3 linked regions of the Caenorhabditis elegans genome follow. The protein of the gene in region 1 interacts with the protein of each later gene in a biochemical or structural test. Each region holds a gene or a part of one and is shown in the gene's direction. Other genes may lie near its edges. The genes, in order: gst-22, dlg-1 and dsh-1.

Region 1 (8,098 bases):
AACCATTAGGTCTCTTGAACTCAAGCCATCTACTTTCACTAGAGCGGGGGTCTTAGAGCCTTTTTCTATGTCGATGTTCTTCTGAGCTGTCTCCAGATTTCACAGGATTTTTGTGCCGAAGGAGAAAGGTAAAACAGTTAATACTTTAAAACAAAATGTTAACTCTTGGAGTGTTGTATTCACATTTGAACTATATTGAATGTATTTCTCACGGTATATAGGATGTTGGTGACTCGAAATGAAGAAAGCGCGGGCAGATATGTAAGTCTCAGAACATTGACATGGGTTAGAATAAGTTACAAATCCTGATAGTTTAATCCCGTAGGTCAATGCCAGTACACTTAACATACATTATTCATCTCTTACTTTAGTGTAATCTGTGACTAAAATTTGGTTTCTCTTCTTTTCTCTCTCTCTCTTTCTCACTCATTCAAAAGTTCCGCGAACACAGGGACTGAGGAAGTGATTGATACCACTCTATTTGATAACAATTTGACACAACTAATTCAACCTATTTTCAACTTTTCTCTTCGACCATGACACACCATATTTGTTACTTGGTAATTTTGAACTTATTCTTCCTTATTATTCCAATATGGTTCCTATCAATCGGCTTTAAAAACCAAGGAAAATGTGAGAACCCGCTTCTTCCATTATGGCTTATTTTTGTTGGTATTTTAATTATTATTGATAGAATTATTTATTGGAAAATTCTATTCAATAAAGTGAAGAAACTCATGGAGGATGTTCCGCAAGATGGAAGAAAGAAAAACTGGTTCGAAAATTTTTGGTGGATATCAATAAAATATGCGTTGGAAGGAGTCATGTTAATAGCGTAATTGATTTCAAATTTACAAATGTCTAAAAACTAGAAAAGTTTCAGGGTTGCCCTTGGAGCTATTTGGAGCTATGAACAACTCGGCCGACCGATTTATTTATGCAAATCTTCTGTTCTTTTCTCGGTTTCCGGATTTTGTATTATTGCTTCCATAACTTATATAGTCTCCTTGATAGGGACTATTTATATATTTTGCATGAATTGTAAAGCAAAGTTTGATAGAAAAGTTACAATGTGGTTGTATAGTTATATTCTATAATTTAACATATTGTATAATTTGAAAATGCATCTGTTTTGCCGACATGACATTGTTTTTACAAGCAATTAAAAATAACACTTAATTTTTAACAAAAACAAAAGGAATAGTTTTTTTTGTTCAATCACAGCTCTCGTTTTCTGCTAAAAATCCATAAAAAAATTTCTGAAGATCGTACAGACAGTATCACCCATTAGTACAGTCTTCATATGTAAACCAATAAAATATAATAAAATCATGATTTCATTTAATAGAGGTATGAATCATGCAATGATTTCTTAATATTCACATAATACCTCCACATTTTGAACTGTCTCTGCAGTTTTTTGCGATAAGGGGAAAAGTTGCAATCGCGATAAGAGTCATCGATAAAGGTTGGTAAAGGTATAAATTCTTTATTGATTCAACTAACTTCACAAATAAAATATGCCCTCTTACAAACTGACTTACTTTGATGCTTGTGGGTTTGGAGAGTCAGCACGAATGTTATTCCATCTTGGTGGGGTACCATATGAGGATGTTCGACTGCCGACGATCAATGCTGTTCCGGGATTTCAAAGTGACGAATTTTCAGCGTTGAAAGACAGTGAGTCAAACTAATAGCCCACTGAGCATAGTCCACCTTTAAAGAAACATGAGCCCTTCCACTTTTCGGCGGAAAATTCATATTCAATCAGAAAAAAGTTTTGCTAGGAAAGGTTTGGAAAGTTGTGGAAAAACCGATAAATTTTTGTGATTTTCTCGATTTTTCTGAACATTTCGGGAAACTTCTTGAAAACTTAAAATAATTTTAGAATCATCTGGATATTTATGGAGTTTTCAAGAAACTCCTAGAAATTTTTGAAATTTCATGAGACTTCTTGACACTTTCTGAAAACTTCTGGATAGTCATGCAATTTTTGATTTCAAGGAGATGTCATGGTAATTCTGGAATAAAAACATTTGGAAATTTGAGGAAATTTTTGGAACCTTCAGACAATTTTTGATGACTTCAAGAAGCTTCCAGGAAACTCAAGAAACTTTTTGAAATTTAAAAATAACTTTTGACAATTTGACAATTTTAGCTGAAAGAATTTTGCTAACCAGACAATCAAAAAATTACATTGTTTTCAGAGACCCCATTTGGCCGATTCACAGTTCTTTCCATCGACGGTTTTGATCTTGCTCAATCTTCTGCAATTCATCGTTATCTGGCTAGAAAGTTTGGCTACGCTGGAAAAACACCGGAAGACGAGGCTTTTGCTGATTCTATCGTTGATCAGTTTAATGAGTACTACGCGTCACTCCATCCCTACCGTGATGCCGTGAAAACTGGAAAAACAATGGAAGAAGTGAAGCAAATTCATGACAAAGTTTACATTCCAGCAAAAAACTTAATGTTCAAAATATTGACTCGAATTCTTAAAGAGAACAAATCGGGTTTCCTTGTTGGAGATGGATTGACTTGGGCAGATCTGGTGGTGGCTGATCATTTGTATACTCTGACGAATCTCAAGGAACTTGATCCAGAAGATCCAATTCATTTAACTTTGAGAAAATTCCAGGAGAAAATATTTAATCTTACCGAGTTGAAAGATTACATCGAGACAAGACCAGTGACGCTTGTGTGAATTGTTTTTTTTGTGAAAGAAAAAATAATGATGCAATAAAATAGTTTTAAAAATTTATTTGCGTTCTGTATATTTATTTGCGTTTCACTTTACAAAACCTGATGTAGTGATGATTTTGTCCAGCGGTCAAGCTTAGTCAAGCCAGAGACACACCAAATATAAATTGACCCAACAATTGAGAATAGGTAAACAATGCAAGTAACAATGCTAAAAACAAAAACAGAAATTGGAACAATTATGCTGCATTGATAGTCGGAATGTATGAGTCTGTCGTAACTTTCGAGGGTGCCGCAGATTATTCTGAAAAAAAAAACAAAAGAATTTGGCTCGCCTATTTGCCTGCCTATCGCCTGCTCTTAGCAAATTGAAACTGCGCTTTGAAAATTGTACGGCGTCGAACCCGAATATTGTCGGGCGCTGCGAAATGTAAATGTACGAAACCATAAAATATCACATGTTTTTAGGCGCTAAGTAGGCGAGTAGGCAGGCACACAAGTTTGTTCCTGAATGCTTCAAAAACTTACCCAACAAACATCAAAATTCTCAAGTTATTCTTCCCGAGAATCAACCACTTCGAAGTATTTTCCATTCGACTCTTCTCCCAGGACTTTATCTGCTTCAAGTCGTCAGTTTTCGGAATGGGATTTTCATTTTCAAATTGAGTTTCGCTTATCAAAATCCTCCAAGATACCACTCTCTCGATAATTATCAAAATAGCAATTCCGATCAGCCACAGAGGGAGTATTGGTGAAGAACAAGAGAATATGTTAAATGTTCCAATAATTATAAAAAATAATGGGATAATAGCGGAGATTATAATTGATGCAGTGAGAAAACAAACTGCACTTTTTTTGGAAACATGTTCATTTGGCTCAATCATATTCTGAAATTAACAAAAATTGAGAGACATAGGTACGTAAACAGGTGATAGCAACGAAAAAAAAAACAAGTTTAAATCAATTTTGTGTTATTTGCCTTATTATCGTTTTCTTGTGATCTTATCACATCATCATTTCTGTTTTGTTTTGATTTTCTTTTCTTTTAACTACTCGCTACTCTACATTTCATTTGAAACTGAATCATAGACCGTAACACTAAAATTTTTTACGAAAATGTCTAGATGAAAGTGTTGATTTAATTAACTATGCCTTTTTTTAATAATTTTATGAACTTTAATCCAAACTTGTAGTTATAATAAAAATATGGTTTTATCAACAAAGAAAAAATGAACTTATTAGAAGAGCAAATTTCCAAACAAAATTATTCCTACGTGATCCCCCCCCTCATTGAAATACAAAGACTACGAAAGATTATTTTTAAAAGCGTGAACTGTTCCCATAATCCAATACACTTTTTTACCCTTCACCATCCCTTCTCCCCCCACATCAGTTTTACAATTATTTCACAATTTTCTACAAATCAATCGATAATTGTTATTATAAGAGGTATTGCGCAATTTCCCGTTTTTCATCAAACTTCTCGGAAATTTCAGTGTAAACTGGTAAACAGTGAAGCACAATGAACAACAGAGGAAACAATGAGTGAGTTTTGTTTTCATCCATAGATCCCGCGCAAGACTATAAGTTTTCAGTTTTGTCGAAGAGAAATGTGCACCGGTGCGTCGTGGAGCTGGACCCCCGAAGAACGTGGCCGCTCCGCTTCCAATTGAATTGAAGCCAAAGTTTCCGAAAACTGAGGAATCCGCCGTTCCAGCTGAACTTGCACATACACCACAGACACCTGTGGAGCAGGTTCCGGCCGCACAGTCTGCAATAGTTGAAGCACCGGTAGTTTCCAAGACTTTGGAGACGGAGATTAATGAAGCTCCGGTTAGTAATTTTATAAACTTACTTTCAAGCAGTCGCGATAGTAGGCGCCGAAACGCCTGCTGCCTCGCCTGTATAGTGCAGCGCGGAACCCGAATCTGCCGTTTCGGAAGAATCACCTATAACACTATATGGTGCTAACAACAAGCTTTTGAAGTCCCGTCAGACTGCTCAATTGAGGATAAAGTCAGCTTGAAGCGGTCTGATTTAGCAGGTTTCACAGGCCTACCTGCTATGAAAACTCTAGTAAACAGACCCGAGCAAAAACTCTGTTCACGATGATACTGAAACAATTAATTTCCAGGGTGAAGCAGTTGTCGTGGAGGCTGGTCAGCAACAAGAGGGTGGAGGAAGTCAGCTACAAGAGGTTCCATCGAATGATGCAGATAAGGCTGATCAGGTTAGTTTCAGAAACCTTTGACTTGCCGAAATACCTATAATCTATTTATTTACATTTGCAGCAACAAAAGAAAAAGAAAAAGGCAAAGAAACCGGCAAAAAAGGACACTGGAACCGCTGTGGCTGTTTTCATCAGTGATGACGAGGATAAGAAGGATGACCCAAACAATGCGGTCGGGCAATTCGTGGAAGATGATGACGATGACAAGGTTAATGACGTGATGAACAATATTTATTAATATAGCTTTTTTTAAAGAAAAAGAACAAGAAGAAGGAAAAGAAGGAAAGGATCAAAACACTGGAAAAGGACGATAACAAGGCAAAAGATGCAAAAGGACCGTCAAAAGTCAAAAAGGAAAAACTACAGAAAACTGACAGGGGAAGTGCTGTAAGTACATAAAGCTGAAATTTTTAGAGTTTTCATCAAATTTCCAGCGCCAGAAAACCAAAACTGGACAGAGCAACAGGCAGAAACGGCAACAAGGAAGTGTGGTGAGTCTTCGAATTGAATTTTCATCAGATAGCTCTTTGTTTCCAGAGAAGAAGTGCAGCCGCCAAACCTGAAAACGCTACTCCAGTGGCTACAACCCCTCAAGTTCCTACTGGAAAGAACTACGTGCCTCTTCAAAACATTGCTACAACTCTACCACAGCCTCCTCCAGCTAAGGATAAGAACAAGGCACCTAGCAAAGATGCAACGGGTATGATCTTTAGTATTTTGTACTTGCATGCTGTTGGTAGCTACTGCCGGCAGGCGCTCTCTGCACGCCTGCCTGCCTTCTTGTCACGGCATGCCTATCTGCCTACCTAAGTGTCTAGTATTAGGACATAAAAATAAATTTTCAGAAGGACTCCTGAAATCATGGATCTCGAAAGCGAAACAGAAATATGTGGGAAAGAATCCGAACATCGAATCAAGTACCCTTAACGGAGATGATTCTATTATTGCGTAAGACAGAATTGGGATTTCAATGAAAAAAAAAACAAGATTTTCAGACCGGAGCAAGCCAACATCAAGCCTGAAATAACAGCTGTTTACGGCCTCCCATGTGACTATGCGCCAAAAACAATGCCCACCAACAAAGATGATAAAAGTCATCCGGAGAAACTGTTTCCGGGAGGCCGCCCGTTTTGGATGAGTAATAATGGAAAGCCACCACCGGCCAAAGTTATCACCGTAAAGGACGCGGTTGATCTATGTACCAGTGGAAAACTTAAGTTTTTGGAAAGACAGACTGATGCGCCGTTAGTTTTTGTACATTTTTAAATGAAACTCAGGTGTATTTACTTTCCAGAGAAGATTTGAATCCGTATTCTGAAGATTTGCAGGCAATTTGTGCCAAAGATAAAGAGTTCTTTTCGGATTATAAAAGAGTAAGTTTTTTTTAAAGTTTCCAAAAAACTACCAAATGCTTTTTGAAGATCTGGACCAACACGTTATACAACTTAAACCCACTCCCAACTGATGCTAAGGACCGACCAGACCCGAAATCTACCAAACCTGTGTCTTTCAAGCTTCCGACAACGACTACTGTTTACAAAAGGTTTGCATTCTTTTAGCCATTAATAAACTTACAAAAATTATTTTCAGGAGAGTTCAATCAGAGGCTCAAAAAGTCACAACTGTGACTTTCCAACCCACACCGAAAGGTCAGAAAATGAAAAAGAAGAAGTCGTCGCCAAGTAATAGCTCTGCTACCGTTGAATGATGTAGAATGAAGGTTTTGAAGTTTTGGAAAATCAGATTTTGAATAATTATGCAAGACATTACATGGCGCCTTTTAGGAATTAAGCATTAAAAAAAGACTTAACGAAACTTGGCTTTTTGTCAGCTGTGTTGACAATCTATATTTTGTGAAACTTCAACTACAAAGTGAATAAAGACTTTCACGAAAGACAGGTGCGGTTTCAGGTTCTGACACCTAATGGTTCTTGCGAGGCAGGTGGAGGTCGCAGCAAGGCAGGCACGGCAGTCGTTTTGGCGCCTGCATGGAAACACTACTACAAAGTTTTTAACACTTTTCATGAAGAAAAAAGTGAATCTGGCAATTGACATGACTTCCGATCAAGCAATTGCAATTGATGAGTCATTTCAAACATGAGGAATAGTAAATTGATAAGAATAGGATTTAAACTACCTAAATTGGTAACCTTGTATTATATTGCATTGACTTTTAGAAAATGAGTTCTTGGTGCCATCGTAGTAAGTTTATTTCTCAATTTTGATTACCTATTTTAAAATTCTATAATTTTCAGTTAATCGCTTTATATCATCGATTATTTTGCTTATTGCCTCTCTACTTTTAATAATTCTCGGTTTCATTAATATTTTGGACAAGGACGAATTTGATAAGACTTTTGTGCCATACTGGATGATTATTCTAGCCTGCCTTACAATATCCGATCAGGTTATTTTTTGGAAACTGGAAATGGATAAAGATCAGAGATCACTGGTGCTGCTAGCTTTTGGAGCTGTAATGAGAGTTGGATTAGTTTCTTTGTAAGTTTTAAGCTTCCGCAAATTTTTTAAATATTATTTTTAACTTTTTCAGCACAATTTGTTTAGTGACGGCCAAGTTGATTGTATTGAATGCAAAAGGTGATCTTCCAAATGTTCCGGAAATATTTAAATTCGGTTTTGCATTAAGCCTAGTAATCATAAGTGTGTACATTTGTATTTTTACAAAATGTTTGGTTAAAGTCTGCCTGGCACGAATTAAAATGTATTTGGAGTTGGATGTAATTCAAGAGGTGCCAGAAGACTTCCCAGATGCTCAAGTTTGAATTTTTTGTTTTGTAATTGTTTTTTTTTAAATTTCATTTTTTGTTTTATAAATTCATGTACGCCTGGCAACCAGTCTCTGTCTGCGCCTCCACCTTCTCCCCACACCTCTGTCATTTCATAGTGACACACGCGCGCCCCTGATTTGTCGGTACACAGCTCCCGACTAGCCCTGCCGCCTCATCCATTCAGTATCGCTTCTTCGGCTTATTAGCTAAGATCAAAGTGTAGTATCTGTTCTTATCGTATTAACCTACGGTATACACTCGAATGAGTGTAATAAAGGTTATATGATTTTTGGATCCTAGGAAAGACTCGGGGCTTGCTCCGACTTTCCGCGGGTCGTACTGGCGTTGCACTGCTGCCGGGCTCGGCCCAGTCCCCGAG
Region 2 (12,113 bases), on another chromosome or scaffold:
TTCGCCTCGCCACAACTTTTTTGGCGCATTTGTTCCCGGCATGTTTTTGGTACAATAGACGACGTTCGCTATCTTCTTCCCGCATGTCGTGACTAATGTCCCGTTGGCTTGTACATGTTGAATATAATTTCACACACACACACACACACACACACAGCGTGACGCATAAGTTAGTGTTGTTTTTTCTATGCTGGCCGGGTCTGTTCCACTTCTCATCTTGACCATTTATGTTTCGACACTGTGATTTGTTTCAAGTCGACTTGTTCCTGTTTTTTGTTCAGTTCTTTGGAAATCAAGTGGCTATTGAAATATATTTTTTGTGAACTCAAATTTGCAGACGTGTCTGTGACCATTAATTTCAAACTATACAATTTTATGGCATTATTTTCTAATAAAACCCCCATTTTGTTTAGATAAAATTGTTAGTGTTCTAATGAAACATACATTTTAGAGCGAAGATAATTTTAACTATTTAACTTAAAGAGACGTGATGGGGTGGTAACAATTTAAAATTTCTGGCTTGTATATATTTTTGGCATCTGTGATAAAGACAAATTGTAGGAATATGTTAATTTAAATAAACTTAATCCAAAATTTTTGGATTTATTTTTCAGGACTCATTATGAAACCTTCCAGGGAGCCAAAACCCTCCGAACTTAATCTCCTTTATTTAAATTCAGAATTTTACAAAATATCCAAAGATAAAAATACCTAATAATAGTTTACTAATTTTTGAATTAGATGACAACCTTTCAAAACAATCGACTCCCCGCTCCTCCTACCAGGTCCCTCTCCGATGGTGCGGTTTGTCGCCTCGCGTCTATAATAAAACCACCGGCGGAGGTGGTTGGTGTCCAATAAACGTTGAAGACCCCCACCGTTTATACCCAAACGCCCTTCTTTTTTACCTCTTCTTCTACTCAAGCATATCTATCAGATCTCTCACACACAGTCTTCCCTTCTGGTAGATACTAATCTAGAGTAAGATGCGACCCGCCCGGAGGAAGACGAGAGGAATATTTATATTTTTCCCCCTCATCCAACCTACTGAATCATACCAATAGTTGGTGGGAATTGCCGAACAAAAAATAAACATATCCATGACTCGACACAAGTGAAATGCGAAACCTAGCGTCTTCCATCTTCTATGTACGGGATATCCTTCTATTTTTCTATCCACGATGGATTATGATTTATGAATCTTCCTAGATTTTTCAAAAAATTTCATTTACTCCTTCCCCTGCTCGTTTTGCTCTGCATCTTGTTTCTATTATTTACATCAAGTTCGCTAAAACAAACTCAATGGCGGCCTGCTTGTGTGTATGTGTGTGTGTGTGTGCGTGTGTTTGCCGTAAATTCTTGTTTCTTTCTGATAAGTTATGTCTTATCGCCGCACAGTTTTTCCTTTTCGTCTTCAATGCCTCCTTCTTACCGAGCTCTGTTTTTAGATTATTAGAAGCATTAAAACCAGTCGTCTATTTCTATTTTCAGTCTCAAAAACTTGTTGATCAATTTAATTTTTTCAATTTTCAGCGACCAGCATCGAAAGAAAACCGATCGGAGTGGGAAGAACGCCTCACCGAAGGAAGGAAGCATGTCCCACGAGTCATCGGAAAGTGAGTTCTAGACATTTAAGTTTCAAACTGTTTCTATTTTGCAAAACGTTCAATGTCCACTAATCTCAATTGTTTGCCACAGTTTTCTCCTAACCAATTATCACCGAACCCATTTCCTACGGTCGCCGTGGTCGTTAAACTCAATGTCACAATGACCAGAATTAGCCAAGGCAACACACCAACTTATGTACATTCTTGCGTTTTCTACGCTCCCCCTTTCCCTGCCTTCTTATGACTTCAATGCGATGATCGCATCTCAACAGTCTTCTTATCACCTCGAAACTGCCAAATACGGCCACCCCGCCTCATGAGGTATTGTGGTGTTGACACTTACACATTTCGATACACATACACATATACGTAATAATTTTGCTATATACGTTTTCGAAAAGTTCACACTACTCGGAGCCTCCTCCTCCTCCCCGCCAGGTGAATGCTTTCTGGCGCGCATGATGGTGAGGATGCGTCTCTGAATGTGCAAACATTATATTTGTATAAGAAGGCGAAGAAGACGCAGTGGGAGGAATAGAAGGCAAAAAGAAAGAGGGCAAAGAGAAAACAATCTGTTTGTGATGGTGTGTGTACGTGTCCGACAGTCCAACCAGGAGTCTCCCCTTTATTCATCGGAGACATCTTTCCGGGGCCAGTCTTGTACATTCCGAAGGGAAAGGGGAGAAAGGAGGGAAAACGAGGGAGATTGCGCATCCTCGCAGGGTGACTCATCGTTATTTGCCGGGATGGGAAAGAAAGCGCATGATAACCTTTTTTGTTGACCATGTTTTGCCGCAAAATGAGTCATCAACCTAGACTTGTTACACTTTGCGACTTGGGATGTGCATAATCCTACAACAATTATAACTGAACATGAAACTGTATTTTCAGAAGCGCATAAAGCGATAGAAAATGTGGAGGACTACTGCCAGACACTGACAAGACACGGCAATGAGGAGCTACGCACAAACCTGGAACGAGTTATCACCACATTCAAATCAAACCTGATGCATTCGTTGCTCGACATTCACGATCTGTACGAGCAGACGCTGCTCAGCGAGCGAAAATCAGATGCAGAGAAAAATATGGAAGTAAGGCGTGTGATTGAGCGACTCGAAGGTGGACCACACTCCTACAACAGTCGTCCGGCTGCGACGACTTCCACGTCGAACTACAACCTTTCAAGCACAACTCCACTTATTTCAGATGTAAGCTCTGCTTTCTTTTTTTCTCTGGATTTGGATTCTAGATTTTTTTAATACTTTATAAAAAAAATTATTTTAGCTGAGAGATCGGGGAGGTTTCTCGTATTTGAACGGCGGAGGCCTTGGAAACGGGCTTGGGAATGGACTTGGAAACGGACTTCTGTCTTCTCCGTACAACTCATCCAGCACTCACTACCTTCATGAGCGTCAACGTCAGACCAGTCATGATGGAACATGGCGGGAAACAACCACAAGAACAGTTGACACTCCAAGTGGTCTTGAAAGACGTGTGGTTGAAGTAAGATAATTTTGGCTCAATATTAGTTTTAATTATCATATATTCAGCATACTGGAGTTATCGATGATCATGGTCGTAAATGGGAGCTTGAGAATATTGTCTTGGAGAAAGGTCACACCGGCCTTGGATTCTCGATTACTGGAGGTATGCGCGTTCAACCGGTATTTATGATGTAACATATCTGATTATAGGTATGGACCAACCAACAGAAGACGGAGATACTTCTATCTATGTCACCAATATTATTGAAGGAGGTGCCGCACTTGCTGATGGGCGTATGAGGTAAAAAACCGCAATTTAAGATGAACAGAACTTTATGGTCATGTTTTTTTTAGAAAGAATGATATTATCACTGCAGTCAACAATACAAACTGTGAAAATGTGAAGCATGAGGTTGCAGTCAACGCATTGAAAAGCTCCGGAAACGTTGTTTCGTTGAGTTTGAAACGGCGTAAAGATGAAGCCTTTCTTCCAATTGGAGGAAACTTTGGCGGGTCGACTTCTTACCTCAGATCAGGAGTCACTCCATCAGTGAGCGCCGGCAACTTGCAACACGCAATTCATTCTCCATCGGCTCCGATTCATCCACCACCGCCACCACCAGTTCATCACGGATCATTGAGCCAATTATCTGTTGGCCAATATCGTTCCACACGACCGAATACATCCGTCATTGATCTGGTTAAGGTTGGCGACATTTTCTCTTTCCAAAGTACAAAAGAATCTATGTGAACTTTTTTTAGGGAGCACGTGGACTTGGTTTCTCTATTGCTGGTGGTCAAGGAAACGAGCACGTTAAAGGAGATACCGATATCTATGTGACGAAAATCATTGAGGAGGGAGCAGCTGAATTAGACGGAAGATTAAGAGTCGGAGATAAGATTCTTGAAGTTGATCATCACTCTTTGATTAACACGACTCATGAAAATGCGGTCAATGTTCTCAAAAACACTGGAAATCGTGTTCGACTTCTTATTCAGCAAGGAACTGGGGCAATTTTCAATGACTCGGCGAGCCAACAATTCATGCCAACTACCCCAATTCTCAGACGTAAGACAATCCCAAGAATCAAAAATAATAATATAGTTTCTAATTAATTTCATTTCAGCTAGCTCCGTTCAAGACTACAACCGCTCTCAAATGGGATCTCAAAGTCATTTGTCTTACGGAGGACCACTGAACACCAGCTACAGTTCACAAGCCCCCATCGCAATTCCACTCGAACCCCGTCCAGTACAACTTGTAAAGGGCCAAAATGGACTTGGATTCAACATTGTTGGCGGAGAAGACAATGAGCCCATCTACATCAGTTTTGTTCTCCCAGGAGGTGTTGCTGATCTTAGTGGAAACGTGAAGACTGGAGACGTTCTTCTTGAAGTGAACGGAGTTGTTTTGAGAAATGCAACCCATAAGGAAGCAGCTGAAGCATTGAGAAACGCTGGAAATCCCGTTTATCTCACTCTTCAGTACAGACCACAAGAGTATCAAATTTTTGAGTCCAAAATTGAGAAGCTGAGAAACGACGTGATTGCTCAATCTAGAATGGGAACTTTGAGCAGAAAGTCTGAATATGTTAGGTAAGAAGATTTGTTTACTTATAAATGTATACATATATCAACGAATAACATCTTTCAGAGCACTTTTCGATTATGATCCATCACGTGAAAACTCTGTTGCTCCCCATAGATCAATGGGATTTAACTATGGTGACATCCTACATATCATCAACTCATCTGACGATGAATGGTGGACAGCTAGAAAAGTTCACGAAAACGGAGAAGAAACAGCTGAAGGAGTGATTCCATCAAAGAAACGTGTCGAGAAGAGAGAACGACTTCGTCGGAAGCAAGTCAACTTCAACTCGGGATCGCAGTCTCTTGGAAGAAACTCGAGCACTACTGGATTGGAAAACCGAAGAGGAAGCCGCAGTCAGCTTTCCTTCTCCAGAAAGTTCCCATTCGTCAAAAGTACCGACCGGCTCAACGATCTTAATGAGGAATCCTCAAATGTAGCTGAAGAGCCAGTGTGGTCCTACCAGGCAGTTGAGCAACAGGCGATCAACTACGTTCGTCCAGTGATCATTCTTGGAGCTCTCAAAGACCGAATCAACGATGAACTTGTCAACCGCGACCCTTCGAAATTCAGTAGCTGCGTTCCACGTAAGTTGTGAAGTTATTAACTACTTTAAAAAAGAGAACATTTCTAAATAGTATGTGCAATATACTCATAATACCCTTTTCAGACACTTCCCGACCACCACGCGAGGGAGAGGTTAACGGACGTGACTACTACTTTGTCAACAAGCACAATATGGAGGAAGATGTCAAGAATAATCTCTTCATTGAAGCGGGACAATTCCAAAACAATCTCTACGGAACTAGCATTCAAAGCGTCCGAGATGTCGCCAACCAAGGAAGACACTGTATTCTGGACGTCAGTGGAAATGCTATCCGACGACTTCAAAGCAATGCCAATATTCAACCAATCTCGATCTTCATCAAGCCCAGCTCTGCACAACAGATTCTGTAAGTTAAATTGTAAAAAGAAGCTTTATCAATCTGCAAAATTTCAGTGAATTGGACAGCCAACTTGCCACCAACCGACAAGACGATCGAGCGATGAGTGGCGAAGAAGCTCAAGCGCAGTATTCCAGATGTCATAGAATTGAGCAAACTTTCGGGGATTTGTTCACGCGTATGTCTTTTTTCCAACCATTATTATCAAATATCTGATTTTTTATTTATTTCAGAAGAAATCTCAAATGTGCACAGCGCGAATGACGTTTTGAGCAAAGTGTACTCCATCATCAGCCGTGAATCGCAGACGCCAATTTGGGTGCCACGTCATTAGATGAAATTGGATATTTTTTAGACAAATAATCGTTTCTTCAAGAAATATGTCTTCTTGAAATTAATTAATATACAGTTTAATTTACCTTAATAATTAGACTACGCCGTGTTGTGATACTTTTTTTTAATCTGAGAAAAGTGATCCTTTGAAAAAACTCTTGATGTCATTTGCTTTATCCTGTTTCCATCCCCATCTTTATTTGTATTTTGTTTAGTACCCCTTCCCTATTATGCATTAATTTACATGACCTTTCCAAGTTCTCAATTCAAGAAACTCTACTACTCGAACTCAGAAACGTGAAAGGCCAATATTTCAATAGTTTTCTGATTCTTTTTTTCTTTTACCTTGCTCATTATTTTCATTTTCAATCATAACTCTCCACAATCACTGCCAGAAAACGGTGAATCGTTTCTACTTTTGTCTCCGAATATTTTACTACGATAGTTTGTACTGCCTGTTTTCTCTACAGCCCATTTTATCTTGAAATTCACCTTACAAATACTTGCATTTTATAATCCGCCCCAGCTTTCCTTCCTTCTTCCCTCTCCTTCCTCCCCCAACTCAATTCACTTCTTACTTGAAATTGTGACAGTTTGTGATATTCTCAACGCTTCATTTGTCTCTACTAACCGCAAATCATTATCATATTCCCGACTCTCTACTGATGAAAAACTTCGGCTCATTTCTATTTTTTGGGACTTTTATTACTCTGAGAGCATTTTATTTTCATCCATTGGTTCCAAACTTTTTTTTTTTAATTATTTTTAAAAACTTTTTATACAAATTATCTTGAATAAAGATTTTATTGCATCTGCAAAACATACATGTGTTGAAGTAACAAGAAAAAACTTTATTTTCAGTATATCAGGGTGTTCTGAAAATGACTGCGGCAATTTGTCATTAAAAATATTCATTTTATTAGATCGCTGGAAAAATTCCGAAACAAAAGGATTTGAAGTACTCTTCAGAATCCGTTTCGAAATGTGCTTCCGTAGCGCAGTAGGCAGCGCGTCAGTCTCATAATCTGAAGGTCGTGAGTTCGAGCCTCACCGGGAGCAATCTTTTTTGCCTAATATATTTCTTCGACTGAAATATTGTTCCTGATATTTTATTAGTCTTTCAATTAACGAAAAAAACATGTATTTTAAACGCAAAATAAGATTAGAATGATTTTAAAATATCAATAATATTTTAATTACTGACTATGAGTTAAATTTGAGATTTTTCAACTAGACTATTTACAGTTGTGATATTTTCAAATCCCTGTCCCACTTGGGATCTCAGTTTTTGCATCCTTTCTCAAGTCCTTTGTGAAGAGTTCACAACGTGCTTCCGTAGCGCAGTAGGCAGCGCGTCAGTCTCATAATCTGAAGGTCGTGAGTTCGAGCCTCACCGGGAGCAATTTTTTTTTTGAAGTTTTCCCAAGTAGCATAAGTTGCCATGAAGAAAACTGTAATTTTAATTTAATTTTTAATTTAACTGTTTAAATTCATTTTTTAATTTGAGTCAAAGCTAGCAATTTATTTTATCTCACATTTTGTTAATTTGAAACACAGACTGGCTCGAATTTAAGAACATTTTTTTATTCTTTTGATCCTACTTTGCAGACGTTGTTCAGTGCTTCCGTAGCGCAGTAGGCAGCGCGTCAGTCTCATAATCTGAAGGTCGTGAGTTCGAGCCTCACCGGGAGCAATCTTTTTTATTTTATTGATATCTTGATTTTAAATTTATGAATGTTTATAATTGTAGAATAGTTCCTCATTTTCTCATTTTTAATTTATTTTTACATAGCAAAGTTACTTGTTTTACTCTTTTCTGCCTCATTAAATGTGTTTCATTGTTTTTATGTTCACGCTTTAATTTTTCTGTAACAATAGTATGATATCGCTTACGGTTTAAATAACTTTAAAAGATTTCAGTTCTACCATAGTACCATTGAGATAAAATAAAGGGTAAAATAATTGAGCTAGGTCATGTCAGTGACCCCCTTTCATGCAATTTTTCGTGTGCGCGCACAAAACGCGTCAATAGGATGGTTGACGTCTTTTCCGTGTGAACGTGCGTGCTTTATGAACGTATTAAAGTTTATCGGATATTCTTAACTAGTTTCTCACAAATTTGTTTGCATTCCCAACTTGTATGACGGTTCTTTATTTTTTATTATTCGTTTTTTTTTTTTTGGAAAATGAGACAGTTAATTTTATTCTATTGTAATGTTTGTTTACTGGTTTACTAACTGAATTTCTTAGTGAAAATAATGTTTAATAAAAAGTTAAAATGAATAATGAATATCTCAAAATAATATAGTAGTTGTGTATATCTTCTTTGAATTCGTAAATACCTTCAAAAACAAATTTCCCAGATCAACCATGGCAAAAATGAAAATGACACAAGAGGAACTAGTGCAAGCATTTAATCAATACATGCCAAAACGACCGGTTTATCCTCCACTGGTTCACGATGATGACGTGCTCGCACATTCCGCCACAGAGTCGGAAGGAAGTGACGAAGAAGAGGATGATTTGACGTAATGTTTTATTTAGCTCATAATCCTTTAATAATAATTGTTCTGAACGTTCAAGAAATTTTCTAATTCCAAAATAACCAGTATGTGGAAGTATGTCCAAAATTGTGGTCCAAAAATGTGATATTAAATTTTCACTCTGTTAAAAATATTTGAACAAAAATTTATATGCGGTTGCAGGGAAAAAACAAAAATGTTTTTAAATAAAAAAAACTTTGGAAATGTTATATCCAAAAGGATGTTATAATAATACTTCAAACATTTTTAGGCTTCACAATGTGTTCAGTTAAAGTTTTTTAAACCAAAATTCTAAAAAAGGCTTCTTGAACAAGCTTTAAATGGCTCCCATCAAAAAATTAGTGGGATAAGAGCAGTTTTAACCAGAAAACGTTCATTGTATTATTTCACCAAGGCTAGACAGAAATTTTAAATTTTATTTGAAAACTTTGAAAAAGAAAATTTTAACTGTCATTTTTTGACCAAGTTTACATTCTTTAGTTGAAAAACGAAAAAAGAGGTGTTTTCCCAGAAATTTTTTCTAAACCATTTTGTATTGGAACTTGCCTACTTACACTAAAACAAACTTTATATTTTCAGAAAGCGATTGAAAGTGACTTTGGCATTTTCAACAGACATGATGTCAGAATGCCGCACAGCCTGGGAAGACTCAACTTGTAAACCACCGATTCAGTATCTCGAGGACAATATTCAAAAAGATGTTGAATATGTATGGTTAAAATATCATAAATAAAATACCATATCATTTTTCGATTTTCAGATACTCGAGAAACTGGTCAATCTGAAAATCAAGCCCAACAATCCAATTGAATGGCTTGGATACTGTCTTTTGAACATGAACATCAATGATCCTCGAAAATCAAAAGATCACAAAAATAAACCATCGGAATTGTTGCGAGACTTTAAAATCGAAGCGCTTGTCAATATGGTATGGAATATGGAGGAAGGTGGCTCAGGAAGCATTTCTACTTTGCACAAGCAGGCACCTAGTCCAACAGCTGGAAAACGAAGGAATCCTTCTTGATTTTGTAACGAAAATTAACAATTCACAAATAGGTGTCTAAAACTATACCCCATCAACTTGTTATGAACAAGAATTCCAGAAATTATCATTTTCGTTTTTTTTTGTTGTAAAATCTGAACATAACCATTCTTTCACAATCATTCACTTTTTATACTTTTTTCTTGTCCCGTGCATTACTCGCATCAAAATTCCTAGTCATCTTGAACTTTTGGAATTTATGTCCAGATTCCATTCCAAGTCTGGTGCATGTGCTTGGTTTTTTCCCCAAATTTTCATTTTGTGACCGTTTCCACAAACTGGTTATCTTTGCAACTTGCAAATCCGCCATTCCTCTGTGCATTGCACTCTTCTGTGCATAAATATGTGTATCTATTTATCAATTTGAATAATGAACTTTTCCAGAAATTGTTACAGAAATTCCTGAAATATGTTTGAAATGGCAAGGCATTGTAATTGATTAAAGGCACAGTATCATCTGTGAGTTTTTAGTCTATTTAAACAAAATATTTACTAACTCTACTCTCCTAACTTATGTAAAATGTGAAAAATTAAAATTTATAAGACTTTTTAATGATGGAGTAGCGCTAGTGGGAAAAGTGTTTGAAACTACTATGATGCCAAATGACCAAACATATCAGTAAAACTTTAAAGTAAATTTTAAAAAATTATTATTTACTGTCAAAAAATAACAATTACTCAGTTTTGGCAACTCATAATTTTGGAAGTCGACCAAAAAATTTTTTTTTCAATAATTTTTATACTTCAAATTTCTTTGATTGTTTGTGTTTAAATATTCTAGGGGCCGGAACATGAAATTACTCTGGATTTCTTTAAAAGCTCATTTATTTCAAAAAGTTGCCATCATGCCAAAATTTTGACTGAAAAAAGAGTGTTTTATTATGATATTTGGCCGGTTTGGATTGTTATCAGTGTATTTAGAAAAAAGTGTATTTAGAAAAAAAATTTCCACTGGCGCTCCTCCACCTTTAAACTGAGAGTTTTTTGACTGGGAAACTATTTTCTGAAAATATTGAAAATTCAGATCAAAAATTACAAAAAATAAATTACGCATGAGGTGACAAGTATGAGTGTAAACTGACTTCCTTTTTGTTTATATGCGAGGATGCGAAATCTTTTTTTTTTCAGGTAGCTCTTGTTGAAAAAAAACTTAACGATGTTAATTTGAAAAGTGAAATCACGGTTTGGTTAATGAGTGTCTTCCTCCGCTGCTACCTGTCGGGAAAAGAAGAAAGACCGATAACCTACGATTCTTCAGGATCGCCCAGAGAAGTCATCGATGACCGTGCCTTGATGCTTATCGTGCTCCAAAGGCGCTGTCGCTTTCACTTGACTCTTATAGCGTCCTCGTTTTTCATTCTACCTGCACTTTCACCTCATGCGCGCCGCCTCGGATGTTAGGTTTTAGATTTTTCCAGATAGCCACGGTCTCACTCTCTGACAAAAGTGCACGGAGGTCGGGGAAGGTTTGCACGGAGAGGTAAATGAAAGGAAAACTGCGGCGGCGGGGAGAAAATTAGTGAAATTGAATGGGACTGACGAGTACGACAAATGCGGAGAAGTGCACTTTGAGAACATAAGATCGGAAATGTTTTAAATTATGAAATTGAATTTTTTTGAACTCAAAGATAAGTGTGTTTACCAAAATCGACATAGCTTCACGACCAGTTTTGTTAAAGACTCATTTTCACAGTCATTTTTTGATAAATTTAGATTTCGAAATTTTCAAATTAAGAAATTTAGCTTACTTGGAAAACAAACTTCTTTTTTTTTGAACCGCTTTGAAATGCACCTCACAATTTCATTTTCATGTTGAGATTTTCAGAAAATTTTCAGATCGATTTTTTTCCCAGTTGAAAATTCTCATCTGCCGCTGAATTTTGTGTAGAGATCAAATAAAAGAGTCCTATTTAAAATGATTGGGTGGTTCAAGTGATGCCGTGTAATGTTGCGAAATGTATTGAAATATCTTTTATGACGTCAAAACATGTATTTCAATACAATTTGTGATGTCATAAAATGTATATGAATACATTTCGCGACGTTACTTGAATAATCCTATAACATAGATTTTTTTCAAAAACCTAAACTGAAGTTGAAATAATTTCCTTGTCAGTTGATTGCCATATGCCTATTGAAAATTTCGCAGCATTGCCATTGTATGTTACTTTTGTTGAAAGATTTAATAAGGGCCTTAAATCGTGCCTGAATGTGCCAGACTGCCAGATTGCCAAAAAGGTGTCAAAAATGGCAACTACGGCAGTTCACGTTGAATTTTCGACAGGAAACCGTTACATTTTCAAATCAAATATTTTATTACCTTCCAATTTTGATTTTTCATTAAAAAATTCGATGGCAGTTTCGATGGTTCTACAGTCCGTGACTGAAAAAAACTATGACTAAAAATGGCCGGTCTGGGGTTTTTTTGCGATTTGTAATCAATTCTACCTGAAACATTTTTTGTACGTTATTCATATATTCTTCCCTATTTGACTAAACACTACATTTTAAGACAAAATGCACTTTGAACATTGCATGGTTATACATTTCACTACGCCTCATAAATCGT
Region 3 (12,682 bases), on another chromosome or scaffold:
CACAACATCACATCTTTCTCATCTCAAATATTCACATTTTCGCCCAAATTTTAATTATAATTTCCATCATTTTTCAGTCCATAAAAATGGCCGAGTCTCCACCTCCGGTGGACTCGTCATTAAATGCTCCAAACGTCGGGAGTCCGACAACAATGATGGAGAGACTCCGACTGAGAGACCAAACGGAGGAAAATGGAAAAGAAGATGGTTTGAAGAAATTTCTATTAAGGAATTCAAATGTAAACAATTAACTTTTCAGACTTTGACAATAAGTCAGTTTCTTCTGCTCAATATTCTCAAACATCGGAGGCCACAACAGCTGTCAAACAGCAACCATTCTTACATACTATGACCAAAGTAAGTTGTTTAAAATATGGAAAAAAAATACTATTTTGGCAAAACTTGCAATCTAGGTTAACTAGGTTAAGTCATACTTATTAAATTTTTAAAAATAAAACAAAGTAAAACTTTTTAAAAGTTTATTTAAACTTACTCAAAGTGGCCCAAAAACCATAATAATTAAGTTCCAAATGATGAGAATTTTTGAAAAAATGTTCGGTTGAAATTTTGGTCATTTAGCAAAAGTAGTATTTACGACAAATAATTTTAAAACATTTATTGGTCGGCTCACAAAATTATGAATGTTAACTTTCCTTATTTATTGGGAAGTTTTTTGAAACAAAATTTTCCAATCAATAAATAAATTTAATGTCTAGTTAGCAATGTTGTCTGGATCTTTGCCTTATTAAAATCTTACAAACTAGTAATTTTTTGTACCTGATTATAATAGGAGTTTTATCTAAATCAGAAAATAGATCATTCTAGCAAACTTAAATTTTTTCAAAACAGCAATTAATTAAATTCTACGTTCATTATACAATTTTCGAAAATTTTCAGGTATATTGCCATATCGACGATGAAACGGATCCATACATGTTAGAGGTTCATGTACCACCTGATCTTATCACTTTAGGAGACTTGAAACGAGTATTGATGAGAACAAATTTCAAATATTATAGAAAAGCATTGGACCCCGATTCTGGATAGTAAGTTCTATTTTAAATTATGAAAAAAAAAACATTTTAAATTAAAAATTTCAGCGAAGTAAAAGCCGAAATTCGTGACGACTCACAAAGGCTCACTCCCTCACCAAATAACCTTTTTGAGCTCTTTCTTTTGACAATTGAAGGATCAACTCATTCGGATGGAAGTAGTGGGAAGATGCGAAAATATCCTTCAGTACCTGGACCGGCGCCTTCAAATCGAAATGGACCACCTATGAATTATCAACATGCTGCTTATCAATTTGATAATTCCAGTGAGTTTTTTCAATCGAAAAATGTTAGAGAGAAGCTCAGAAAATATTCGATAAAATTATTTATAAAAAATGATAATAAATCATAGAAAAATTTAAAAAAAAACTGGCAAGTCAAGTTTGATCGGCGCCCAGAAAAATCCAACATGAAAATCTTTGGCTTGCCAGAAATTTGATTTTTTTTTAATTTCAAAAAATTATGTCAGAAAATATATGAAATTCGGACTTGGCAACTCTCTAGGAAATAAGAACTGTATCGGAATTAATTGGCTCCAAATAATCTAGGAATTTCTTTGGGGCCCAGTAGAAAAAATTTAGCGGAAAACTTTAGCGGAACCCCCAATGACAAAAGAAATTAAAAATTCAATTCATCTAGTAAAATTGTCTTCATACCCTCAAGTCATAAACCTCCAGATGTCTGTTTAATTCTCATTTTATTTCCCTCCCTATGGTCCCCGTGATCCAGTTTCTGGGTCTATTTTGTTTCTTTTTCAAAGAACTATAACTATTGTTGATACATTCAACGCAACCTGAATTTCAGTGATGAGCACCGATTCGGAATCAATGATCTCGGCAGCAATTCCTGGATACTTGAAGAGTGCTGCCTATAATCGACGGTTTCCACAACATTATTTGGGTTAGTTTCTTTTTTGTTTTTTGGAAAACGGGTATATACTCGATTTCAAAAAAAAAACACTTTAAATAGTTCTGCACAATAATCTGTGGGCCTCTCATGCAATCACAAAAGTGCCTAATTACACGTATAGCCAGTTGTCAAGGCTAGTGAGCATTTTTGTGAATGCTTAGATGGCTCAAGGCTTTGTATGGTAAAAAAACAAACATTAGCTTTTGGGGTAATTGAGAAACGGGAAACACGATGAACTTGGTCCCAAGTGTTTCAGAAAAAATTGGAAGAAAAACCTCGTCTCAAAAAGTTCTTAAGAAAGTTCTCGCAAACTTTTACATTGTGTCAGTGAACCCAATAAAACTTCCCCTCATAAAATCTTGATCACATCATTTCAACACTTTCACCCCATCATGTCCTTCCGTTGATTTTCATGTTTTATGTTGGTGTTAATGAGCCGATCTCCCAGATCACTTCTCATAGATCATAAAGAAATGAGAGAGCACAGAGAAAGGACCAATTGTTTCAATTCTATCTTCTGGGCTCATCTTGTTGGCTGGCTGCCAGTCAACCAACCAACACACATTTCAATGAGTGGAGATCTCCTCCTTCTTTGCTTTCATTCAATGTTTATACATACATTTCATTTCATTTCAATTTAATCACACACACACACATACATATCGATGATTTCCCCAGTGTGATTACGTGGAATTAAAATCACATAATTGTGGTTATTACCTGGTAGCTGGGTGTATAAATCAATTGAAATTCTCCCTTTTGTGTACAACTTCTTTTCAAAGTATTTTAGTTCATTGTGTTTTTCTGAAAATTTAATCTGAGGAGCATATTCTCAAATTCTATAAAATTCGTATTTTATAATCTGTTTTAATTTTCCTCCAAATTAGAAATTCATCCAAACTCTCTTTTGTTGAAAATTAAAAAAAAAGTATTTTGTTACTTTTGAAACAAATAGATTATTATTTTCAGGATATCTAGTTGCATTGAAAGGCTACCCAGCTGTTTTATTTCAAAAATTTTTGTTCTGAAATATCTGACAATGACATCTGAAAATGGTAAATTGCGAACAAGTCACAGCTAGTTTAGTTTAGCTTCGACATTAGAGAATAAAAAATTATTAACCAGATACCAAAAATATCTCTTTGCGACCTTAAGAACTGTAGTGTACGGTAGAATTTGTAAGCATTGTTAATTGGAAAAATATGTTCTTTGACATCCAATTCTCGATCTTTTGTAACATTAGTCCTTGAACTTCTCTGTTAGGGGGTCAACCGGGCTCCTTGCTTGCTCCACCACTTTTTGTGAGAAACCGTTCTCTATATCTCTGTGCTCGACGTCAGTGGGAATGAAAACCCGAAGACCGATGAGTTTATCACAGTGTTTATCAAGATGCTTTCCTTCTGTCTCTCTCTCCACTTGAACACTCTTCTCGAGACCTCATACCACTTCACCCCACTTTTAGTTAGTTTTTTTTGTCCGCTCACTTGTCGATTTCTGTGTATGTTTCTACTTGTCACTATTATCGTTTTTGTGTCGAAATAGTCTCTAGTACCCACCCCAGGATCTCATAATATTGCTCTCATTCTCGTTAACACGAAAATAGATATCTGCCTTATAATAGTGAGATCTGTGGTTTTATTTACTTTCGGATATCCCTCACTTGTGATTTCTATCATGATACCTATCGGGATTTTGGGGAGAAAAGACAGTTTGATAATGATCTTTTCTATGCTTTATCCGCTTTTCCTGCCTCCGATCAATGTTTGCTAGCCCATGTGTGTAGGTGGATTCAAACATTTGATTTTATACTTCGTCATCATCAAGAGCCATTGCAACATGTTTCAGTGAGATCAATTTGCAACTCTTTGTTCAACTAGTCATGATGAAAAATTTTCGATCAATATTCTTTAAGCAACTGCCATTTAATCTGACCATAGCAAATTGTGTTTTCCTCTGGATCTCTGCGGTGTTTGACTGTGAGCCATAAGTCAAGTTGCAATTTGTTGATATAAATAACTGATAGTGAGCTCTTGGTTTTAGTTGTCATGTGCCATTTTCCAGCCCACCAGTTGAAGAAATTTGTTAGTTGAGAAATGGTAACACTTATTCTGAAGCTCTTTTGCGAAACGGGGAAAATCTTATTAATTGATAGCCACATAGTTTCGACCGAAACGTATTGAACTATAATTTTAATTTTATTAGATGTATCAGTGAATGTTAACGATTAATTAAATAAAAGTTAAATGAAAGCAAACATTTGTCTTTCAAAATAACATCGAGATTTAAGCGTATAAAAACTTGAGTTTTTTTTAAATTTTTCTACTGTTATGGCTTGAATCTTAACAAACTCATAGACCAATTATATTATATTAAAATTATAATATCTCAATCTTTGCATTTCTCATTATATAGGAATTTATCAATTTTAGATGTCACTATCATAGTCGAGTCAATTGAGATTTAACATGACATATGTCAAGTCCGATTAAAGTTTAACGACAGTGTTTATGGTGTCAACAGGATTATTTTGAGTACCAACTTTCCCGATGTGTCGACTATTAAATTCTCAGTTTCTCTCTAAATTCCCAGCACATGATAAAAGTAAAACGAAAGTATCTGTTTCTAATCCAAGTGCATCATGAGCCACAAGATGGGATGCTGGGAAATTTATGACCCCCCATCGAGGTGTGTTTCTCGTTTCTTTCTCTTCTTTTTATTACCTTCAAGCTTTTTTATTACTTCCCAGCTCTATTACTATCAAAAACTTAAAACCGATTTTCTAGAGAACGACACGATTGCTCATAGCTCACTAGCGAGCAATGAGTATCAAGCTTGGAGCTCGAGATAGAGCCCTTCCATCTCCTTCTGGCTCCTCAAATACCCCATCCACTTCATCTGATATGATTCGCTCATTATTATTCACTTCAAAAGAACGAAAAGTCCGTTCGACATACACGGCTCCTCCACCAAATCGACAACACTCGCCGGGAGTTGTATCACAATTGATTAACAAGATTGAGTTGAAAACGTCACCTACAAATACATCGTCAAGACCAAAAAAGAAGAAAAAGGCTCCACCACTTGCTAAGATTGATGATCTTGATTTGGTTGATGATGAGAAAACTATCGTCTCGGAAGTTGTAAAAAGTCCAAGAAGGAAGAAATATACAGGAAATCCATTAGGAAATTTGAAAATTCTGAACAACATTCTCCCTTCCTCCAAAGCTTCTGATGATAAGGAAAATTCAGGAAGCCAGCAGCAACCAAGTACGGGGAAAAAGTTGAAGAAGAGCAGAAGTAAAAGTCGTGTGGAGCCGGAGTCTGAGGCACCATTTCGATTAAAACGGACTTTAACTGATCTCACAAATAATCATACACCTGCCGGATCCACATGGCGACAGATGGTCTCAAATGCGCTCGGTGGTCCACTTAAAAAACGGCTCAGCGAGGGGGCTCTCCTGTTTCCCGGCACCAGCAAAGCATCAGATGATTGTAACGACGAAGAGGGGGATAATACTAAGACGACAACGAAGCGCAGATTTTTACAACGACGGAAACAAAGCGAAAAAAGTGCAGGAGGCGCCAACGGAAAAGAGTCCGGTGGTGGTTCCGCCTCTTCATCGTTTTTTGGAGCTCTTATCAGATTGTCCCACTCGGCTGCAAGTTTAACGTCTTTAACTTCACTTGGTGGTTCAAAATCTCGGTCTGCATCTCCATCACCATCAAGTTCTCGATCTAATACTAAAGAATTCAAAGAGAATCTGAGCCCACCTCAGCCACCACCACCGGATCTCATTGCACCAGCTGCAGCATTAGCCAGACCAACTTTTTCCCTTGCGGCTCCTGATTCCCCTGTTTCACTTGCTCCGCCATCTAGGGAGCTCAGAAAATCCAAAACGTGTCAAATAACCACCGATCGTCCACCTATTATTCCTAGTATTACTATATCTGAAAGTCGAAGTTTGAACCGAATCGATAGGTGTCGGCCGGTCACTGTAGATGGAAGTGGTCTATCATCTGATTGCCGACCTCTTGTTTCACGAAGAAGCACAATGAGCCGTACAATGTCACTGATTCCAACTAGTCCATCGCTTCCGCCACTTTATGAGGAAGAAACAGCAAGTACAGCGGCAATGGTGGAAGAGGAGAGAGCGGATCGAGCACAGAAGCGCAGAATGCGAAGGTACGGCGGATCAAATACAACAAGTACTTATCAAGGAAGGAAAGATGTTGCACCGGATGCTTCGCCGAGAAGACATCTTATTGGATTTCTACATAGGACGTCACATCTATCCTTAACCTCTGAACTTAGTGCAGATGCATCGTTTTATTTGATCGGTAGGTAAATGATGGCGAAAAATGATGTGATCAAGTAAAGGGTAATAGGTTCAAAAAACAAAATCTTATGAAAATTTGAAAAAGCATCGAATTCTAAGTTTTCTTAAATTCCAGGGCACCGACGACATCTCGAAGAATCAACAATTGGCTCCGAATCCGATGCAAGAGTATTTTCAGATGATGATGATAGGTATGTTTTTTTTTTTAATTTTATAAACATAGGTTTCATTTCATTGAATTTTTATGTAAAGCCAGTACTCTGGTGACAGTGTTCCTTTCAAAATTTAGTGTATTTTATTCGGCAAATTTTTATTTATAAAAAATTAAAGCAAAAGTTTAAGTTATAATAGGGCTACATTCAGGTCTTGCAGGGCTATCTCAAGGAATATGCAACATTGAAAAAAATTTACATTCAAAATATAACAACTCATAAAAACAAAACCAAGTTTACGAATAGGCAATACCCCTTTGAAATTTTAAATTTTAAATATTTTCAAAAATTCGATGGTTTTCATTTTGCCTCTCAAATAGTTAATACCTTTTTTTGTGTCTTCTCTGTCTGTCACATAAAGTGACAAATGACTAGGCTTAAAGCGGGCCTTCATCCCCGCTCACTCTGCCCCCAATGATTTCGCCCTTCCGCTCCTCAAATAGTGAAATGAGCGGCTACATAACTGACGATGATTTCGCAAGCTCTGATGGTAAAGCCTATTATTCAACAACTTCCACTTCAACTTCTGATTATTACTATGCAATTGGAACAGCTCCGCCGAGCAGCACGGGTGCCACAACTCGCGACGTGTCAGTTCATTTATTCTGCGATAAGACACAGCTCGTTAAATTTGAGCAATTCCTGCTTGGCGCTTATCTTCTAGCTAAAGCCTGGTAGTGACTATCACAACAAGCTCTTAGTGTTGTGCACTATTTGAAGGAAACTAATAAAAATTGGGGAGGGGAAGAAAAGGACGTGAGAACGGGTGGAAAGAGATGGATGAGAAGTGGATAATTGCTTTCGATAAATCTTTCAGTTCTTTTCGGATTTTGTGGAACAAACTTCTAGGTTGTAACTTTAAGGAATTTGAACATTTTGTTTTGTGCAGTGCTCCGCTTATATTTAGAATTTCACGGAACACAATTCTCATTAGTTTTCCTTTTTTAGCTAGTGAAAACCATGTAAAATTTTAGTTGATAACGTTCAAAGTTACTCACGAGTTGCAAAAATCACTGAAAACCACAGTAAGATTTTCAAAAAATTATGAAATTTTTATTTACAGTCCAAAATGGAAATTAACCAGTTTTCGCTTATCATAAATTAATAATTCGATTTTAAAAAATTTCTACAGTTTTTTTTTAAATTTTAAAATCATTTGTATTTATTTTGTGGGGCATCGAATATGCAAAGCTTCTTTAAGTTTCTCAATAAGACTCAATTTTCAAAAGTTGGACTGAAAATTCTGAAAAATCTATAACAATTTCAACTATAAAACGTTCAATTTTTCAGAGGCTCTACAACAACCGATTTCACATCAGTATCCCGACAACATGAAAAAATGGCAAAGAAAAAGAAGAATAAAAGAAATTTCCGAAAACCCTCTAGAGCATCTTCGTTTTCAAGTATCACAGGTATGACCTCTTCGAAATTAGCATAACTTTTACCATTCGAATTCCAGAGTCCTCTATGAGCCTTGATGTAATAACAGTGAACCTCAATATGGATACAGTCAATTTCCTTGGCATTTCAATTGTTGGTCAAACTTCTAATTGTGGTGATAATGGAATCTACGTAGCAAATATCATGAAGGGAGGTGCAGTGGCATTGGATGGAAGAATTGAAGCTGGTGATATGATTTTACAAGTCAATGAGACCAGCTTTGAGAATTTCACTAACGATCAAGCTGTTGATGTGTTACGGTAAAAATTATTATTTTTTACTGAGAGCTTATTCTTCAACATATGAATTTTCAGAGAAGCTGTTAGCCGTCGTGGCCCCATCAAATTAACTGTGGCGAAAAGTTTTGAAAATGGGCAAAGTTGTTTCACAATACCAAGGAATAGCAGAGAAGAGCCTGTGAGACCAATCGATACTCAAGCATGGATCCAGCATACGAATGCAATGAGAGGAATGCCAAGTATAGTTGAAGGTATGGTTTTTTGATTGGAAGTGTAGAAAAACTAAACAAAATACCTGCCTGTTATTTGATTGATCTTTTTATTTTTTGCAAAATTATAAGCTGCACTCTCAACCTATTCAACTTCAGGCTGAAATTTATTCAGTGCATTTCTTCGCTACTTTCAAGTTGATGTTTTTCAGACTTCTGATGTTTTAGGATATTTTAAAGTAGAACAACATTTGGAAAGCTTTTTGGAATTTTCAATTTTTTTTTGAAACAAAAATAAAAATATGAAATTTTTCACATCTCTAATTTTGAAGGCTGAATGTAAAATTAAGTCAAACCTTTTTTCTGCACCAAAATTTTGAAAACAGGTAGGCAGGCAGGAAGACAGCCTCGATGTTGTTTTTTGTTCTTCTTCTACGTTATTCTCCTACAAATATCTATTAATTAAAAAATTTTTTCCAGAAAGTGCACCGACACCAATTCCTGGTGAATGGCCTCATGGTCGACCGCCAAGCAGCTCAACGGTGACCTCAAACGGATCAAATGGTCAAAATACAGTAGTCGGCGGCGGAGCTCATATTATTCTTGATATACACACTGACAAAAAGAAGGTTGTCGAAATAATGGCTATGCCTGGCTCTGGTCTTGATATCAAAAATCGAACATGGCTCAAAATTCCGATTCCCATGTCGTTCTTGGGTAAGTTTTGAATGAACGTGTAGAGCCTATTCTAATTCTCAATTTTAGGATCTGATCTGGTCGAATGGCTTTTGGATCATGTTGAAGGGCTTCGAGAACGGAAGACAGCACGAAACTTTGCGGCGGATTTACTGAAATTAAAGTATATTGCACATGTGGTGAACAAGGTCACATTCACTGAGCAGTGCTATTATGTCCTTGGAGATGAGTGTTCAGGTAGGAAAGTATACATTTATTCGGAAAATGTCAAAGTTTTTGTATATGAAGATGGAAGTGGGTCTTTTGAAATCTTTAATGCAATTTTTTTGAACTGAAATGTTAAAAATTTGTTTTAAAAAATTATTTTTTTCAAATTATATTTTTAAAACAAATTTTTCACTGATGCACAAAAATGTCTGCCTGTAATCTCCATAGGAATGCAAAAAAGTTGGTTGCATTCAAGGCTGCCCTGCCTGATTCAAAACATGAAATTCAACCCTTCTTGTTATATCTTCTAAATTACTTCCAGACTATGCCCGATTCCGAAATGAAGATGGTGGACCCAAATACCAATGGACCATCGGAATGAACGGAATGTCTGCTGGCAACGGAAGCTCTGTGATGCTCCCACCCCCACATTTACCTGGAGGTATGGCTGGCCCTCCTGGAGCTTTTAAAGGGATGGCTCCGTCAATGGTAAGCGACGGCGAATCGCGCATGTATGTAATGCACATTTAGAATGTCATCATTTTTCTTCATGTTTATGTTTCATTATGTCTGGTAATCAATGCCAAAATGGCATAATTCAAAATAGTTTCTCTCACAGTACACCATGTACCCGGTATTACAATAAGTTCTAATTTAATATTTTGTAACTTCTAAGTCTCCAATCATGAATCAAAATTTCATATGTTCCCGGTGATTGTAATTTTGGATGTTTTTCCTTTATTTGATTATTCTATTTTTGAATCTGTCCGTCGATTTTTTGTTGCATTTCCTTCTCAAATTCACACGAATTGCGATCTTCTTCACGAGTTCCCCACATCCTTGTCTGAAATAGATGCACCCTATACTAAGAAAAAAAACGTCTTGTTTTCTATTGCATTTGCCCTAAAATTATTGTTTATATTCGATATCATTGTTATTTTCTCGCCCCCTCATTTCTCAGTAGCATGTAAATGTATCAGTCCAATGTTGCCACCCACAAGAATGACAGAATAATAAATAATATTCTGAATCAAAAGAATGTTGTTATATTTCACACCACACGAACATTGCAAAGTGAGAAATATATTATTTGAAAAATATATAAACAGGTAAGTGGATATGCATCAATGCCGGCTTCACCATTCCCACCAGCTCAATTGCAGCAACAGAGAAGAGAAGGAAGTACAACCAGTGGAAGTAGTGGCGGTGGAATTAGAAAACAGTGAGTTTTTCCACTATAAACATACAAAGAAATTTTTGTATTTTGTAAAGATATATAGCTTTTTTAAACATTTTCAAGAAAAAAATAAAATTCAAAACCACACCAAAAGAACTTGTTTCTTAAGTTGGAAAAAAGTGAAAAGTGTGAGGCACTGGAAATTTAAAAACTTTCGTCTGAATTTCTCTGACTTCAAAAGTTCCAATTTTATATAACACGGTAGACTCTAACATTTTTGACATAGTTTTTCGAAATAACTCCCAATATAATTTTAAAATATTTCAGACGAGTTGTTGTTCTTCCCAGAAAACCATCATCGTCTGCAAATGTTCCATTTGATGATAGTTCTACAATCTATGAAGAATCAAATAATTCATTTCTTATGGCAACTGGACAAAGATACGAGTATTAACTGTTAATATTAATTCAATGTTTTGGTGCTTACTTTTTGAGCTGTATAAAAACTGTTATTTATTCAAGATTTTTGCTTATCCGCCGCCTTCTTAATTCTTGTCGCGAAGGCGGTTCAGTGGAATGCTTATTTATAAACTTCATTTATTAACAATACTTTATTTATATATTATCATTAGCAAATGGAGTTCACTTGAGTAAATTCAAAACTGATGTTTCTTCCACAATTTCCTCCTTATATAGACATCGGATATGACTTTTCACGTAAAGGTAGCAAAGGTTGTTCCACGGTGTTATTGGCAGTTCAATTGCATCCTTTTGATCCTAGAGTTCCTGTGTGAAAGGGTTTCCTTTGTTGTTGTAGACGTTTGGCCATGTTGGAGTTGCTTGCAGGGTGGTTCCTTAAGACGTGTCGCCGCTCGGTGGAGTGAGTCGAGTGCCATAAGCCGGTGATATAGTCCTTTTATATTCTAAACAGAAGTTAGTCGAGAATAGGAGAGGTTCATTCTGTCCGTATTTGCGACAAGTCTTACTAAACCCCATGGAAGGCTACGCGTAAAATTATAATCCTGTACAATTAAAAAAAAACTTCAGTAACAATAATTTATTGTATTCATGACATAAGTCTATGGACGGTTTTGCTTCTGCCTTTTCAGAACTTCAAGAGTTGAAATTTTGACAACATCTGGGTTGTCTCTGTGCAGTTTCCATTCAAATCGACATAGTGGGCACGCCTTCGATGCAGACGTATCAAACCATTTTTTCACACATCTGGAAACTGCCTAATTATAACATCTTCAATATCTCATATTAACTCACTTTTTACAGCCAATGACTTTGAGGCATTTAGGACATCCTCTCGGATCAACGGGCTTCTCAAAGCAAATGGTGCATTCCGAAGTTTGTAGAGCACTTCCTCGGTGACGTTGATATGGTGCAAATGAAGTTGATGCCGAAGTATTGGTGAATGGTGGATGACGAGTTGCCGTCGAAGTTGTTGTAGCACTCCGTGACACCGGCCAGATACGAATATGTGAGGAACCGCCTTGTGCCACTGGAAGAGCTCGCCATGAGCCTGATCTAAAATGTTGTGTTTTTTATATTTTAAGGCGTAATTAAGATAACCTTAGAACTAGAGCTGGTACCCGTGCATTCTCGGTTGACGGATGTGTGGTAGCCTGAGCTACTGGCTGCTCTGTGGAAGCCAACGGAGCAGATCTGAAACCAAACATCATATTCATCTTTCGAATCAAACGTGTACCTTGATGGCTCCAGCTGCCGTCGGTGGTGTCGAATGGGCCCCAACACGAACTCACGTTCAACGTCCTGTGCGTACCGCGAGTCATCGCGAACTTGTTGGAAACGAGCAAACTCAGCTCTGTAAAAATTGAATTAAATTTTGAATACTTTCTTCAAATGAACAAGTTCTGAGATTTAGGCGATTTGATTGAAACAAAAAACTTACAATTGAGCGTTCACATCGATTTCAGTTAAATTGATACTGACTTCTATATTCAAGTTTGTCGACATCTTTGCAAGTTGACTGATAAAAATTAGGAATGAATGAAATAAAGAAACTTGGAAGTCATTTTGCTTTTTCTCTTACTTTTGTTTTTTCAAAGAAAAGCCCGTGGAAATTATATTGATAATTTGTTCTTTTACTTTCATTATTCATTTATTGTTTAAAAAATTCTAGCAATTTTCCCTCGAGAGAAATGAGAACGAACACGGAAAACGAAGCCAGTATTTTA

The links.
Region 2: the proteins of gst-22 (region 1) and dlg-1 form a complex in vitro, tested with the Caenorhabditis elegans proteins (one study listed by BioGRID).
Region 3: the proteins of gst-22 (region 1) and dsh-1 form a complex in vitro, tested with the Caenorhabditis elegans proteins (one study listed by BioGRID).

The regions. Positions count from the first base shown.
Region 1 is NC_003283.11:16,225,694-16,233,791, reverse strand, and holds gst-22 (glutathione transferase), read left to right. Parts: upstream 1-1,509; 5' UTR 1,510-1,520; coding exon 1,521-1,680; intron 1,681-2,207; coding exon 2,208-2,704; 3' UTR 2,705-2,760; downstream 2,761-8,098. Other genes in the region: F21H7.3 (Serpentine Receptor, class E (Epsilon)), read left to right, coding at 537-835, 884-1,097; F21H7.12 (uncharacterized protein), read right to left, coding at 2,794-3,004, 3,229-3,584; F21H7.2 (Calpain catalytic domain-containing protein), read left to right, coding at 4,223-4,245, 4,296-4,533, 4,835-4,930, 4,992-5,138, 5,186-5,317, 5,365-5,421, 5,468-5,630, 5,776-5,878 and 4 more; F11A5.13 (uncharacterized protein), read left to right, coding at 7,111-7,132, 7,186-7,429, 7,482-7,713.
Region 2 is NC_003284.9:5,478,167-5,490,279, forward strand, and holds dlg-1 (Disks large homolog 1), read left to right. Parts: upstream 1-1,533; 5' UTR 1,534-1,594; coding exon 1,595-1,616; intron 1,617-1,825; exon of another isoform or gene 1,826-1,936; intron 1,937-2,052; exon of another isoform or gene 2,053-2,330; intron 2,331-2,498; coding exon 2,499-2,815; intron 2,816-2,891; coding exon 2,892-3,110; intron 3,111-3,157; coding exon 3,158-3,254; intron 3,255-3,301; coding exon 3,302-3,392; intron 3,393-3,445; coding exon 3,446-3,797; intron 3,798-3,853; coding exon 3,854-4,160; intron 4,161-4,218; coding exon 4,219-4,687; intron 4,688-4,745; coding exon 4,746-5,269; intron 5,270-5,352; coding exon 5,353-5,635; intron 5,636-5,682; coding exon 5,683-5,804; intron 5,805-5,859; coding exon 5,860-5,960; 3' UTR 5,961-6,775; downstream 6,776-12,113. Other genes in the region: C25F6.1 (Condensin-2 complex subunit H2), read left to right, coding at 8,330-8,487, 9,082-9,211, 9,263-9,526; F55D1.1 (uncharacterized protein), read left to right, coding at 11,672-11,947. UniProt on the Caenorhabditis elegans protein: Essential multidomain scaffolding protein required for normal development. Recruits channels, receptors and signaling molecules to discrete plasma membrane domains in polarized cells. Required for proper embryonic elongation.
Region 3 is NC_003280.10:5,212,773-5,225,454, reverse strand, and holds dsh-1 (DiSHevelled related), read left to right. Parts: upstream 1-4,780; coding exon 4,781-6,299; intron 6,300-6,413; coding exon 6,414-6,489; intron 6,490-6,787; exon of another isoform or gene 6,788-6,991; intron 6,992-7,800; coding exon 7,801-7,922; intron 7,923-7,969; coding exon 7,970-8,210; intron 8,211-8,264; coding exon 8,265-8,440; intron 8,441-8,878; coding exon 8,879-9,115; intron 9,116-9,163; coding exon 9,164-9,331; intron 9,332-9,623; coding exon 9,624-9,790; coding exon of another isoform or gene 9,791-9,832; exon of another isoform or gene 9,833-10,335; intron 10,336-10,410; coding exon 10,411-10,523; intron 10,524-10,805; coding exon 10,806-10,932; downstream 10,933-12,682. Other genes in the region: C34F11.1 (RING-type domain-containing protein), read right to left, coding at 11,558-11,702, 11,751-12,011, 12,057-12,149, 12,193-12,309, 12,397-12,461.